2 linked regions of the Caenorhabditis elegans genome follow. The protein of the gene in region 1 interacts with the protein of each later gene in a pairwise test. Each region holds a gene or a part of one and is shown on either strand. Other genes may lie near its edges.

Region 1 (7,689 bases):
GATTGTTTAAAAAAATCCAAAATAGTCTCAAATTCAAAAAAAAACCACAAAAAACGGAAAAAATCGCGAAAACTCCCCGACCAATCAGCGACTCGCTCCGCCCATTTTCGGACCAATCAGCGTCATCGAGCTCCATTTAACCCAAATTTTATAGATTAAAGATGAACGTAAAAATATAGAAAAATATTCAATTAGTTTGAAAATAAAATTTATTTTTTAACAATTTTATTTTCAAACTAATCGAATATTTCTATATATTTCTACATTCATCTTCAATCTATAAAATTTGGGTCAATACGGAGCTCAAAGACGCTGATTGGTCAGAGAATGGGCGGGGCGAATCGCTGATTGGTCGGAGAGTTCTTAGTGATTTTCTGGTTTTTATAGAAAATTCCGATAATTTTTGGGATTTCGATTGTTCAAAAAAAAATCCAAAATAGTCTCAAATTCAGAAAAATCACAAAAAAACTTTAAAAAATCGCGAAAACTCAAATTTTCAGACCCCAGACGACATTGAAACACTCGCTTCCGTAGACGAAGATGGTATTAATCTAGAAGAAGACGCATGTACAATTAAATTCGATTCGATTCGCCGGAAAAATGACGATAATTCCGTGGAAAACGGGCAAAATGCCGCCGATTTATCCGATGAAACGGATGAATGGGATGTACAGAGACCAGATTCAGGAGATGATGATCCTTGAGTTCGTTTTAGACGTCGTCGTCGTGATGGTTGTGTGTGTGTGTGTAGAATCGTTATTTCCGTTGTTGTAGCTGTTTCTCATAATTTTTAAATTTTTTTTCCCAGCAAATTTGGGTTATTTTCGATAATTTTAACAATTTTTGCTGTAAAAATTATCTAAAATTCAGAAAAACCGCTAAAAACTTCCCGACCAATCAGCGATTCGCCCCGCCCACTCTCTGACCAATCAGCGTCTTCGAACTCCATATTGATACAAATTTTATAGATTGGAGATAAATGTAGAAATATAGAGAAATATTCGATTAGTTTGAATTTTTTTTAGATTCGATGTTTTTACATACATTTTTGATTTTTAAAATTTGGGTTAATATGGAGTTCGAAGACGCTGCTTGGTCTGAAATGGGCGGAGCAAGTCGCTGATTGGTCGGGGAGTTTTCGCGATTTTTCTGAATTTGAGACTATTTTGGATTTTTTTTCAAACAATCGAAATCCCAAAAATTATCGGAACTTTCTATAAAAACCAGAAAATCACTAAGAACTCTCCGACCAATCAGCGATTCGCCCCGCCCACTCTCTGACCAATCAGCGTCTTTGAGCTCCGTATTAACCCAAATTTTATAGATTGAAGATGAATGTAGAAATATCATTTACTATATATAAAGCGCGTGTCCTTCCGTCCGTTTGTAGTTTGTAGTTTGATCTTTGGTCTTTGAACTCTGTAGTTTGTAGTCTCAATCACCTAAGAGGGGTCCTATAGCCCCCGCCCCTTTTGTGACGTCATCACAAATTGGCGGGAAATTCAAATTTTCTGAGAAATCATTTTGGCGGGATTTCAAATTTGAATTTTTTGAAAATATTTTGGCGGGAATTCAAATTTTAATTTTTTTGAAAATATTTTGGCGGGAATTCAAAATTTAATTTTTTTGAAAATATTTTGGCGGGAATTCAAAATTTAATTTTTCGAAAACATTTTTGGCGGGAATTTAAATTTTTAATTTTTTGAAAATATTTTGGCGGGAATTCAAAATTTAATGTTTTGAAAATATTTTGGAGGGAATCCTAATGTTCAAAAAGTGGACATTTTCACCTTTTTTCATGAGATATTTTTGTAGGATTAATTGAATTGATGATATGTGTCAAACATGTCAAATTTTGCCAGTCGTTAGCACGCGCCTTGGCGCGTGCTAGCGGCTGGTAGAGAAATATTCGATTAGTTTGAAAATAAAATTGTTAAAAAATAAATTTTATTTTCAAACTAATTGAATATTTTTCTATATTTTTACGTTCATCTTTAATCTATAAAATTTTGGTTAATACGGAGCTCGATGACGCTGATTGGTCCGAAAATGGGCGGAGCGAGTCGCTGATTGGTCGGGGAGTTTTTTCGCGATTTTTTCCGTTTTTTGTGGTTTTTTTTGAATTTGAGACTATTTTTTGGATTTTTTTAAACAAGCGGAATCCCAAAAGTTATCGAAATTTTCCTATATTTATTCATTTTGTATATCTGTAAATCTATGACCTTTTTTCTTTTTTTTCGATTTTTTTTCCTCATTTTCCTCTTAATATGGTGCATTTTAGCTGTGATTTTCTCATTTCCCATGCTAGTTTTTTATTTTTATTTTTGTCAAAAATTCAATAATTCTGGTCAAAAATTGGACCAAAAATTAATTTTTTTTCTCTCTCTGTCCTCCCCTCTCATCTAATACCTATTAATTATTATTATCAGTTACGTGTAATTTTTTTTCCGTTTGTGCCTAAAAAAAACATAATTTTTGGAATAAAATTCCGTGATTTAGAATTTTTTTTTGCAATTTTTTTTCGTGGTTGTGGTAGTGGTTTTGTGATCCATTTTAAGCTTATTTCGATTTTTAATTTATATATTTAATTTTTTTTTTTTCAAAATTTTAAAACTTCTTTCAGAACTAATGAAGCCGAGAAGGGCACCAGTAATTGTCAAAGCTTTTGATGAAAATTTTCAGAGACCCACCGAGGAAAGAGGTACATCCAAATGAGTCGAAATTGAAATTTTAAGAAATTCAAAAAAATTCAAAAAAAAACTTTTTTTTTTTTTCTTTTTTTTTATTTTTTCACAAAAAAATTCGATTTGTTGGTACTTTTCAGAACAAAATTAAAAAACAAAAAATAACGATTTTTAAATTAAAAAAAAAAGATGAGAAATTGATGAGAAAATGACGGAAATTATGAAATTTTCTAATAATTTTTTTTTTCGATATTTCCAAAATTCGAAAATTTTTGTTCTTTATTCTTCAAAAAAATCTTTTAAAAAACACTGCAACTTTTTCCTCACGAGGGACGAGGAAAAATGGTTTCTAGGCCACGGCCGAGGGGCCGACAAGTTTCAGCGGCCATTTATCTTGCTTTGTTTTCCGCCTGTTTTCTTTTGTTTTTCACAGTTTTTTCCCGTTTTTTCTTATTAAAACTGATAAATAAATACTTTTTGCAGATGCTAAAACAATTTCCAAGTGAAAAAATCATGTATTCAGTGGGCAATAGGGCTGTGCGGCTGATGACTCGGCTGATGGAGCAAATCAACGTTTTTCAACGTATTAGCAATGATCAATTAGGGAATACTTGTATTTGCCATATCGGCTGAGTCTTGAGCTTCTGATTCTAGAAAAAAGTTTTTAAAAAAGTGCACACCCCTTCCAGAAAAACTCGTTTTTCCAATCAGCCGACAGCCGACAGCCGAGTTACTCGGCTGATTCAAAAAGCCGACTGTTTTGTCAAGGTGTGTGCACTTAAAAAAAACTTTTTTCTAGAATAAGAAGCTCATGACTCAGCCAATACTGCAAATACAAATATTCTTTAATTGATCAGTGCTAACACGTTGAAAAACTTGATTGTCTCCATCAGCCGAGTCATCAGCCGCACAGCCCTAGTGGGCAAGCAACGGTGAAAGTGGGCATCGTAATATGATGGATTACGGGAATACAAAACCTAAACTTTTTCTGAAACATGATACATATGATGCTTAGATGCTGAAATTACCTGATTTTCATAACGAGACCGCTGAAAAAGTTTTGAGGTTTTCAGAATTCAACTTTTTGTGCGAAAATCTCGACTTTTTCACCAAAAAATTTGAATTTTGAAAACCTCAAAACTTTTTCAGCGGTCTCGTTATGAAAATCAGGTAGTCTCAGCATTTAAGCAGCGTATGTATCATGTTTCAGAAAAAGTTTAGGTTTTGTATTCCCGTAATCCATCATATTGCATTGACCACTTTCACCGCTGCTTGCCCACTGAATACATGATTTTTTTACTTGGAAATTGTTTTAGCATCTGCAAAAAATATTTATTTATCAGTTTTAATAAGAAAAAACGGGAAAAAGCTGTGAAAATACAAAAGAAAACAGGCGCAAAACAAAGCAAGATAAATGGCCGCTGAAACTTGTCGGCCCCTCGGCCATGGCCTAGAAACCACTTTTCCTCGTCCCTCGTGAGGAAAAAGTTGCAGTGAAAACGCGAGATTTTCCGACATAAAAATTCAAATATCGAATAATTTCCAGTGCTTTTTTTTCCATTTTTGAAATCAAAATCAATTTTTTTAAAACAATAATTAGATTTTCCGGAAAAAAAACCCCGCGAAAAAGCGAAAACGATTTTTTTTTTGCAGATCCATACGATGATGTTCAAGTGGAAAAAGTGCTCAAAGATTTGTCATTTATACGAATTAAATTAGATCAGATCGTCCTACCGGACATTAATCCATTCATTCAGAAATTGCATAACTATCGGGAATTTTTCGGGTGAGATAATCGTCGTTTTTTTGTTTTCGGAAAAGTTGAATTTCCCGCCGAAGCAACTTTTTTTTTCTGAAAAAAATGAATTTCCGCCACAAAATTACCGCCAAAAATTGAAAAATGATGATTTTCCATCCAAATTTTTATCAGAAAATTTGAATTCTCAGCTAAAAAATGTTTTTTTCTCGAGAAAAAATTGATTTTTTCGCCGAAATTTAAAGGAGGACTAACGGTTTGGACGATTTTGAACGTATAGACCCAAAATGAGCTCAAATGAACGAATTTCGTAATGAAACTGCTCAAAAAATTTTCAAAAATTTTTTATGGCGGTTCAAAATTTCGAAAAAATTACACTGATTTTAGTTAAAATCACGAATTTTTCCCATTTTTCCGTGTCACATCCGTCCGAAGTTGGCTTTTTTGGAATTATCGTCCTTTATTACATATTTTGGTAGTTTATCTCATTTAATTTCGTCGATTAAAGTACATTTAAAGCCGATAGGTAACCAAAAATCATCGAAATTAGTTACCTATCGGCTTTAAATGTACGTTAATCGACTAAATTAAATGAGATAAACTACCAATATATGTAATAAAGGACGATAATTCCGAAAAAGCCAACTTCGGACGGATGTGACACGGAAAAATGGGAAAAATTCGTGATTTTAGCTAAAATCTGTGTAATTTTTTCGAACTTTTGAACCGCCATAAAAAATTTTATGAGACATGTTTGAGAAGTTTCATTACGAAATTCGTTCATTTGAGCTCATTTCGGGTCTATACGTTCAAAATTGTCCGAACCGTTAGTCCTCCTTTAAATAAATAAAATTTCCAGGCCAATTTATTCTCAAAAATTTGAATTTCCCACGAAAAATTTTGCAAAATTTATAATCTTAACAAATTTTTCAATTTCCAGATTCCAACTCGAATACACATTTCCATGCCTAGATGCAGTTTCAAAATCGCTTAAAACTACCATTAGAATTCCGGAAAAAGAGGTCGATATTATGAAGATTGTATTTAATCATAGAGTCAGTTTTTCATCTGAAAATTCAGAAAAAGCGTGAAAAATCACTAAAAAAATCGCGAAAAATGAAAAATTCAACTCAAAAAATCGATTTTTCAATTTTTTCGTTGAATTCCGTCCAAAAAAAGAAAAGCGACCAATCAGCGTTTCGCCCCGCCCACTTTTCAACCAATCAGATTTTTATTTTAAAAAAAAGCTTTAAAAATCAAAATATGACTTCCCGACCAATCAGCATCTTCGAACTCCGCCCACTCCGCCTGATTGGTTGAAAAGTGGACGGAGCGACGATCGCTGATTGGTCGCAGCTCATTTTGGAGGGAATTTAACTAAAATTGAAAAATCGCGTTTTTAAAGCAATTTTCGTGTTTTTTTTTTAATGGTGCGTCCATAGTCTGCGGAAAACGGGAATTTCCCGCGTGCGGAAGCGTCCATAGTCTGCGGAAAAAACAAGGAGTTTCTCGCTTTTTTTTTCCTCAAAATTCAAAAAAGTAGGCGTGGCCAACCAATCAGCTGTTGTTTCTTGTTTTCCCATTGCTCAGCTTAAAATTTTACAGCCTCTAATTGGTTGAACACGCCCACTATTTTGAAATTGACCAATAACAAAGCGAGAAACTCCTTGTTTTTTCCGCAGACTATGGACGCTTCCGCACGCGGGAAATTCCCGTTTTCCGCAGACTATGGACGCACCATAAATATTTTATGTTTTTTGTTGGATTTTTGAAGCAAAATTTGCTGGGAATTATGAAAATTTGTTAAAAGTTTTCAGCTTTCAGTTTGAGTTTTTTCCAACTAAAAAAAGTGTAAAATTCTGAAAAATAACGAAAAATAAATAATTCAACTCTAAAAAGCGTGATTTTTCAAATTCCCTCCAAAATGAGAACTGCCCCTGACCAATCAACGCCTCGCCCCGCCTACTTTCCAACCAATCCGCGATGAAGTGGGCGGAGTTTGAAGATGCTGATTGGTCGGGGAGACTTTTTCTTTAAAAAATCGAAAATAGTCTCGAATTACGAAAAATCACAGAAAAACGCAAAAAATGGCGAAATTATAAAACTCTGACCAATCAGCGTTCTCGAACTCCTCCCACTCCACCTGATTGGTTGGAAAGTGGGCGGAGCGACGATCGCTGATTGGTCGGGCAGTTCTCATATTGGAAGGAATTTAACTAAAATTCAAAAATCGCGATTTAAAATTTTTTTTTTTGAATTTTATGTTTTTTGTTAGATTTTCTGAAGCAAATTTTGATGGAAACACTCACGAGGGACGAGGAAAAGTGGTTTCTAGGCCATGGCCGAGGGGCCGACAAGTTTCAGCGGCCATTTATCTTGCTTTGTTTTCCGCCTGTTTTCTTTTGTATTTTCACAGCTTTTTCCCGTTTTTTCTTATTAAAACTGATAAATAAATATTTTTTGCAGATGCTAAAACAATTTCCAAGTAAAAAAATCATGTATTCAGTGGGCAAGCAGCGGTGAAAGTGGTCAATGCAATATGATGGATTACGGGAATACAAAACCTAAACTTTTTCTGAAACATGATACATATGCTGCTTAAATGCTGAGACTACCTGATTTTCATAACGAGACCGCTGAAAAAGTTTTGAGGTTTCCAAAATTCAACTTTTTCGGTGAAAAAGTCGAGATTTTCGCACAAAATGTCGAATTTTGAAAACCTCAAAACTTTTTCAGCGGTCTCGTTATGAAAATCAGGTAATTTCAACATCTAAGCAGCATATGTATCATGTTTCAGAAAAAGTTTAGGTTTTGTATTCCCGTAATCCATCATATTACGATGCCCACTTTCACCGTTGCTTGCCCACTAGGGCTGTGCGGCTGATGACTCGGCTGATGGAGACAATCAAGTTTTTCAACGTGTTAGCACTGATCAATTAAAGAATATTTGTATTTGCAGTATTGGCTGAGTCATGAGCTTCTTATTCTAGAAAAAAGTTTTTTTTTTAAGTGCACACACCTTGACAAAACAGTCGGCTTTTTGAATCAGCCGAGTAACTCGGCTGTCGGCTGTCGGCTGATTGGAAAAACGAGTTTTTCTGGAAGGGGTGTGCACTTTTTTAAAAACTTTTTTCTAGAATCAGAAGCTCAAGACTCAGCCGATATGGCAAATACAAGTATTCCCTAATTGATCATTGCTAATACGTTGAAAAACGTTGATTTGCTCCATCAGCCGAGTCATCAGCCGCA
Region 2 (7,840 bases), 2.8 Mb from region 1:
GTTGAATTTTGTCGTAATTTTTTGAAAGGAATTTTCGGTAATTTTTTTTTTGAAAAACATTCCATATAGCTTTTTAGCAATTTCTCCAAAAAAGCTTCGAACTTTTCATAGAAATCTTTAAATATGTAATGAGAGTTTTTGGACAAACTAAACACTTTTCAGATTGTAAAATACTAAAACTTTCATAGAATCGTTATTTTTTGGTCTCGAAAAAAGAGGAAAAACGATTCAGTGAAAGCCCCGAACGTCTTCTAATTGTTTTGTCAGTGAAAGGAAAAGCAAGAGAGAGAGAGAGAGCCAACTTTTCATGTTCATTTGGTGCACACACCCCATAAACAAGGAGCCGCTTGTTCGTTTGTTCAAGAAAAAGAAGTCGATGAGAAGCGCAGAAGTAAGAAGGGAAGGAAGGAACTAGGCACCATACAGCCGGAGGAATAGAAGAAGACGTCACTTTTTGAAATAAGTAGAGGCAGAAGTAGAACTGGAAGACGTCAGGACGGCCACAATAATTGCCTCACGAGGAGACAGCTAACTAACCTGAGAAGTGTTCCCGTCAAAGTCCACATTATACCATATTCCTGATGCTTCCGGTCTCTCACCGATCCACGACACTTTTGCTGGAACCCGTCGCATTGTTTCGTCCTGAAAATAAATTATATTGAAGTTTTCAGAAAAAAAGAGCTCAAAATTAAAAAAAGGAACTAATGGTTCTTGTGCTTTACTATGAATTTTTAAAATTTTTTCAAGAATTATTATTATGAAATTCGCTGGTTTTGAGGCAGTTTCACTATATTATTTAATTCTGAAAATGCGGATTTGGCAATATATTTGACGCGTAAAATATCTCGTAGCGAAAACTACAGTAGTTTTTGAAATGACTACTGTAGCGCAAATGGTCAAAGAGTTCATATCGTTTTAAAATTTAAGACTGCTGAGACACGAAAAATTGGAGATTGATTCTAGCTAAAATTAACAAATTTTTAAAGGAATTTTTGAACCACCATAGGTTTTTAAACACACCAAAAAATGTTCTATTATTTTTCTGCGTCACGAAAAAAGGTAGGTAGGCAATGATTGTATGGAAAAGGGATGAAAAAAAATGGAACTGAAATTGAAAACGGGGCAGCGAATGCGTCAGCCAACGAACAAAACATCATTGTGCATCAGACAAAAAAAAGAAGAAAAATATCACCAAAAAAAGTTTGTCCAACTGATTTTGTTTCAATCAATTCAAGTTCGATGACAACAAATTGGGAGAAGGAAGGGCGTCGCCAATGAAATGAGAAACAAGTTGGTTGAGACGATGAAGAGGAAAGAAAGAAACAACTAAACAGGCAAATAGTTTGTTAGAGAGAGAGAGAGAGAGAGAGAGAAGAGGATAACTTATACTTTCACACAGAGAAAGAGGAACTCTATGTTTTTTGTGTTGAAAAGAGAGAGAGAAAGAACTAAATAGAGAACCGGTTCACGATATCATTGACACTGACCGAAATATGTTTTATTGAACAACATCGAGAGGGATTAAGCATACAGTCGGCAGAAAATTGAGAAATTCTTTCAGTTTTAATTTTAATTTGAATCAGAAGCAAGGGCGTCGGGTTTTCAATTTTTGAAAAAACTAAAAATCGAAAAATCGAAAACTTTTCATTTTTCGATTTTTCTAAAAAGTTTTCGATTTTTCGATTTTTAGTTTTTTCAAAAATTGAAAACCCGACGCCCTTGCTTCTGATTCAAATTAAAATTAAAACTGAAAGAATTTCTCAATTTTCTGCCGACTGTATGCTTAATCCCTCTCGATGTTGTTCAATAAAACATATTTCGGTCAGTGTCAATGATATCGTGAACCGGTTCTCTATTTCATTTTTCGATTTTTCTAAAATTAGCTTTAAAATTTTGTTCATTGTTCTTCATTTTAGAATAAATTGTTTTGTTTTTTTCTCAACAATGTAAACGAAATTAAACTTTAAAAATCATATTTTATGGTTAATTTTCTGAAAAAAAATTGTCTTTTTGATTTTTCGATTTTCCGAAATTTTTAAAAATTCGAAAAATCGAGAATTTTTGTTTTTCGATTTCCAATTTTTCTATTTTGGAAAAACCGAAAAACGACACCCTTTATCAGAAGTATCATAATCTATGTGGATGTATTTTTTTTGTACATTTGAAATTTTCCCGGATTTAATTTTTTCCCGGACCAGAAGAGATAAATATAAATCGAGAGTTTGAGAATAAAAAATAAAAACGAAAATTTCTCGATTTTTTGGACACTAGTAAACTATTTAAGATGAGGCACAATCACTATTTCATTCGAAAAAACAAAAAAATTTCATTATTCGAGCAAGAGACTCCAATTTTTTTTCGATTTTCAAAAAAATTCGTTTTTTTTTTTAATTAAAGCCGGAAAATTGACTTTGTCAGAGCGGAATTTACAGAGGCCTAGCAAAAAATGTGACTCGTGGGCCATTAATTCCTATCCCATTATATTATTTTCAAGAAACTTATAAGTTAGTCATGCCATCGGAATTTCAATCAGTCACGTGTGACAGTCTAATTCTGAATACAAGGAGACGCCCATTTCTCGTCTGCGTCTCTTTATTTTGAATTCGTTGTTTTATTTTTCTTTTTTTTTGGTTAAAAACTAGATTCCTTTGAGAAACATATAATTTCAAATACTTACCACTTCCACAGAAACAGAATCGCCAATTTTCAGATTCAGAATGAAATTGAACCATTCGAAATTTTGATAAACTTCTATTCGTTTCTCTACACTGACAGCCAGAAGATGTCTGAAAAGGGAAAAAATTTTATTTATAAAGATAATAAATATACATTGCTTGATCTTGGTTTATTCTCATTACATCGGATCTGGTAATCATTGCACAAATCAGAGGAGTGCAGTCGAGTTCCTGAAATTTAAAAAAATTGAGAAACTGAAAAGGCATTAATTTGACGAAAAATTTTGTGCCAAAAATACGGTAGCCGATCTCGAAACGACAAATTTTTGGAATTTTTATCGATTTTTTAATCGTTTTTTCAAAAAAAAAAACAAGAATTCTGGAGAAAAACTATACAAATTCAATGAAAATTCGCCGGGAACGAAAATTTTGAATTACAGTTCTTTTAAATTTGTCGCGTCGAGACCCGCTACCGTAGTTTTAGCCGCAAAAATCAGGGTAATTACGATACCTCCATGGGCATTGCTAATCCATCACGTAAATGCGAAGAAGCTCTTGATTTTGTGAACCATTCTTTTAATTCAGACATTTTCCAATCATCATCTGCCATTTCGCGAACCATTGTTCCTGGTGGGATCTGAAAATAGAAAATAAAATTAAAAATGTTTAATTGTGGAAAAAATAAGCAAAAGACCAAATTTCATAACGAAACTTCTCCAAAATGCTTTACAAAAACATGATTTCAGCTAAAACATCAAATTATGCACGCTTTTGAGTGTCGGCCGGATTTTTTTCTCATATTTTGGTTGTTTCTCCGTTGATCAATCGATTATCGGCTCAAAAATTACCTAAATCAACAAAAAAAGCGTTTAAAAAACTTAAAGATGACAAAAAATAAATAAAAATCAAATTTCGGCAGCTACGACACGGAGAATTGGCGATTTTAGATGAAATTCTGTTTTTTTCCCCGAAAACTATCGCTATTCGGTCTTTTTGGCTCATTTTCCTCATTTAAATCCACTTCAATCACCTCAATAACACATGGTTCTTCCTCTCTTCCATAATTCGATGAAAATCGAATTCCTTGAACTTTTCGTTGCAAAAGAGCAACTATTAGCTCGGGAGAATTCCTATTCCTATCCAGCTTCGTCGTCCTATCTCGGCTATAATCGCTAACATCCACTAATTGATCATCTAAAAAGCCGGAGCCAGAAGCTTCATTAATAAGCTCAAATCCATCTATTAATGTGCCGACCGGTATATTTTGATTCTGAAAAAAAAAACGAATTTTTAAAAATCGATTTAGCAAGAATAATGTTACTTACGAGATTTAATCTGTTAGAATTGCTTGTATTTTCACTTGTATATAAATTTGAATTTTTCTCGGACTGTGTAAAATAATCAAAATCGTGTGCAGTTAAATTTGTTATTGTATTTGATCCCGTAAGTTCATCGAGTGGGTTACGAAATTGATGAGATCCAGCTGAAATTAAAAACATAGTTTTAAAAAAAATTATTATTATTTCGTAAAATACCTGATTGCTCCGGAAACTTTGCAAATTCGCCGGGCATTCTGAAATATGCGGGTTGTTTAGAACGTTTGACGAACGACAACATTTCAATAAATGAAATAAAGATTCGTACTATAAGTGGAGAGCGGTGGACGAAGCGCGCGCGCGAAGCTCAGTGTTACGTTTCGGTGAGCAAATAGAAAAGGACGTTGTCCAAACAATTATTAGACTTCCGCATCATATACCTATTTGGTGTTGAATAATATTTTTGGTTTTGACCTCGGGTTTTCCTTGCGCGCTAGGTTTTTTTTGCCGAAAAATAAAACATCGAGCAAGCAAATGACAGAGAACGTTTTCGAAAGAGAATGAGAGAACGAGAGCTTTGACACAATTATTTACAGAAAGCGAGGGAAAATGATAAGAGGCTTGCGGAGCAGATAGTTTATGTTGCAAATGCCATTTAAAATTGCGATTCTCTTCAAAAATGGTAAATTTTATGCGAAAAAATGTAGGCAAAGGTTGAGCATGTTTCTGAAAAATTTATTACGGAATTTACGACGAAAAAATCTTTAAAAATCGCTGAAAATGTTCAAAAATGCATTTAAATGAAACAAAACAAAAATAAAAATTCAAACATGTTTCAAGGGAGGTGCATGTCTGCGGATGGGTCTCGCCGCGCGCGCTGGAAATAAAGTTTTGGTGTCTGCGCCTGTTACTGTACAATTTCTAGGCTTGTTTTCTTCGATTTTATTTGCGGAAAGAAAATTATTGTGTCTTCTAATTTTTTTAAAATGTTCCATTATTTTGTTATTTAACTCAAAATTAATTGTTTTTATAGTTAAAAAAACATTGTTAAAATTCTACAGTAACATTTAAAGGCGCACACACTAAAATTTTATTTTAATTATACATCGCGTGGCGGTACCCAGCCAATATGAGATTTTCCGATATTTAGCGACAGGTTAACATAATTTTTCGCTTTATTTCTTTCTTTTTGAAATAAAACGAAGAAAAAAGATAGTAGTTAGTGGAAAGTGGAAAGTGGAAAGTTTTCAGAAATCAAAATTTCAAAAATATCCAGAATTGCTTTAGAATGAAAGAAAACCGACAAAAACCCAGTGAGCAGATAACAAGATTCCCAGAGCCCACCCCATCTCAAATAGAGCTTCAAATTGACAATTTAAAGTTTAGAGCAACCTTTTCAAGGGTACCAACATGACTAAAAATGTTGTGGCTATTTAAATGAGTATTTGGGTAAATACAAATTTTTTGAGATAAATAAAGAAAAGATGTAACATTCAGATTGCATGTACGTTTGTTTGAGTGCGGTCCAGGCACATGAGTTTATTTGTCAAAAAGATTGGACATTTTGAAGAAGACGAGAACTCGAAATGTAGCTGGAAAGTTTTTTGAAAATTCAAATTTAAAATATAAATTAAAAAATACAGAACCTTTTTTAAATCAAACCGAACACGCAGTTCAATGCAAAAATCGATAAAAGTCGAGGAAACGGAAAGACCGGTTCTCTTGAGGATAGACGGACAACGCATTCGATTGGACTTGCGCACCAATATAAACAACAATTGAATGCAATAAAAATGTAACTGAATCCATCTTATGGAATAGTGGAAGTTATCACATTTAATAAACAAAATTAATAGTTAAAAGTATCAACAGAAAATACATTAAATTATCTTTTCGTCTCTCCTATTGAACATTGAGTTATTCAAGATAATATTTTTTAGCTAGAAATGACGTGTGTTGAACTATTGTGTGGCCTTAAGTTTGGAACCATAATACTATAATGTGAACTTAAAGACGCACGGATTCATTCAGATGGGTCTCGTAGCGATAATAATAACCGGGGCTCATCTTAAAGTCTCCAGTAGTCGCTTTTTAAAAGGAGTTTGAGATAAAATACTTAGAATTTGAAGAGAGAAATAGGATTTTAAAAAAAATTAATTGAAAAACTAACTTGGAGAAAAACTATTAATATAGAAGTGAAAAATATATTATCTAGCCAGGTAGGACGGAAACTGAATACAAAAAAAATATTAAATTCAAACTGCCGCGTTTCTTTTTGCCAGTGTGTCTAATTCTCTTGGCACATGGTCAGAGAGGTTTCGCAAGAAATATTTCAACATTTTCTTGATTACCAAATATGTACAATTATATATCTAAACAGATAACTTTTCATTTGCTAGAAAATAGTATTATATTTATTATTAATAAAGAATTTTTACATTTTCCAGAAATGTGAAAATTCACAGTAAAAGTTTTGGCAAACTGCCAAAAATGTTCAGTCACTTATTAATGCCAAAATTTTTAAAAATTAATTTTGAAAAGTTTTACCGTATTATTTAGTTAGAGCTACTTTACCTGTAAATATTTGTGACTCACTATCAATATTCCGAATTTTCAGTCATGCCCCATAACAATTGCTGTAAATTTCAAGAACCCACTGACAGTTCTGAAACCTCAAGCATGCACAATTTGGAACAAAGTTTAAACTTTATATGGCATAATAATTAAGTTACTTGTTTCTTACAGGTATATGCTACAACTGCCACAAACTTGGTCATATGTCTCGTGATTGCCCTGAAGAACAACCTAAAGCATGTTTCAAATGTGGATTCCGTGGACATTATTACCGAGAATGCCCATCACAAATAGAGAAAAAATGTAATCACGGGGAAAACAGCGAATTGAAAAGTTGTTATCAATGCCAAAAAACTTCAAGTTCATGAAATAACTTATCGTGTCTCTTAACTTTTATTCGTGCAAAAATAGCTTTATATTTGTTGATAATAAAATATTTTTACTTTTTCAAAGGAATTTGGATAAATGTGTCATAAAACATACTTTAATAGAAACTTGAGAATATTGTGTTCAATCTATGTGAAAAGACGTTCGTTACGTTTTCTGGTTTTCATACTAATGATCACTTTTTCAGTTGTTTTTCTCATTGCTCTGCTGGCAGTTTACAACACGACGTTTGCATCTAATAGTGTCTGCCACATCACCAGAAAGCCACTGATGCTTCGAGCTCCATGCGATGTCTACAAGAATCCAGTGCAATTTTGAAGAGCTGCTTTTGTTCTCATTCTCTGCATGCATAAGTGATGTTGCGTCTTTGTACTGTAAATAAATTTGGCAGAATAAAGTGCAACATTTAATTAATAGTCCATATACGCACCGAGTTTTTATAAATTTTCACACTCAACATAGTGTTTCACTATGTTGAAATAGTAACACAGTACATCAATGGCGTCACCAGCAAAAACGATAATTATCATTTCGGTTACTTTCCGATTTCACAATCGCAGTGTATCACATGCTATTTACTGATAACATCCACTCTTTCATTTCATTTCGCTTTTGCTCATTCTTAAAACAAGTGATTCAGAGCAAAACTTTTAGCGACTTGTAATACATTTCTTACAAAACATTGCTTTTTGTGTATAATTTTTCCTTTCTTTCCTATATTTTATAAATGAGTTAAAAATGTACAAATCAACGAATGATATTCAAAACCAAATTGTGATGCAATATTCGTCAGTTCTCTCATTTGTTACAATCTAAAATGGATAACTATTTAGATCTCTTCTAAATGATTTTTATTCAATTTCATTCAGATTTTGCCGTTTTGAAAAT

Evidence for each region.
Region 2: the proteins of sas-1 (region 1) and cyld-1 interact in a two-hybrid assay, tested with the Caenorhabditis elegans proteins (one large-scale study listed by BioGRID).

Annotation. Positions count from the first base shown.
Region 1 is NC_003281.10:12,696,871-12,704,559, forward strand, and holds the start of sas-1 (C2 domain-containing protein), read left to right. Parts: upstream 1-2,623; 5' UTR 2,624-2,628; coding exon 2,629-2,701; intron 2,702-4,337; coding exon 4,338-4,470; intron 4,471-5,380; coding exon 5,381-5,495; intron 5,496-7,689.
Region 2 is NC_003281.10:9,906,411-9,914,250, forward strand, and holds the start of cyld-1 (ubiquitinyl hydrolase 1), read right to left. Parts: upstream 4,249-7,840; 5' UTR 4,248-4,248; coding exon 4,211-4,247; intron 4,159-4,210; coding exon 4,001-4,158; intron 3,946-4,000; coding exon 3,706-3,945; intron 3,313-3,705; coding exon 3,187-3,312; intron 2,907-3,186; coding exon 2,830-2,906; intron 2,787-2,829; coding exon 2,678-2,786; intron 643-2,677; coding exon 538-642; intron 1-537. Other genes in the region: F40F12.9 (CCHC-type domain-containing protein), read left to right, coding at 6,611-6,689, 6,737-6,868, 7,140-7,270.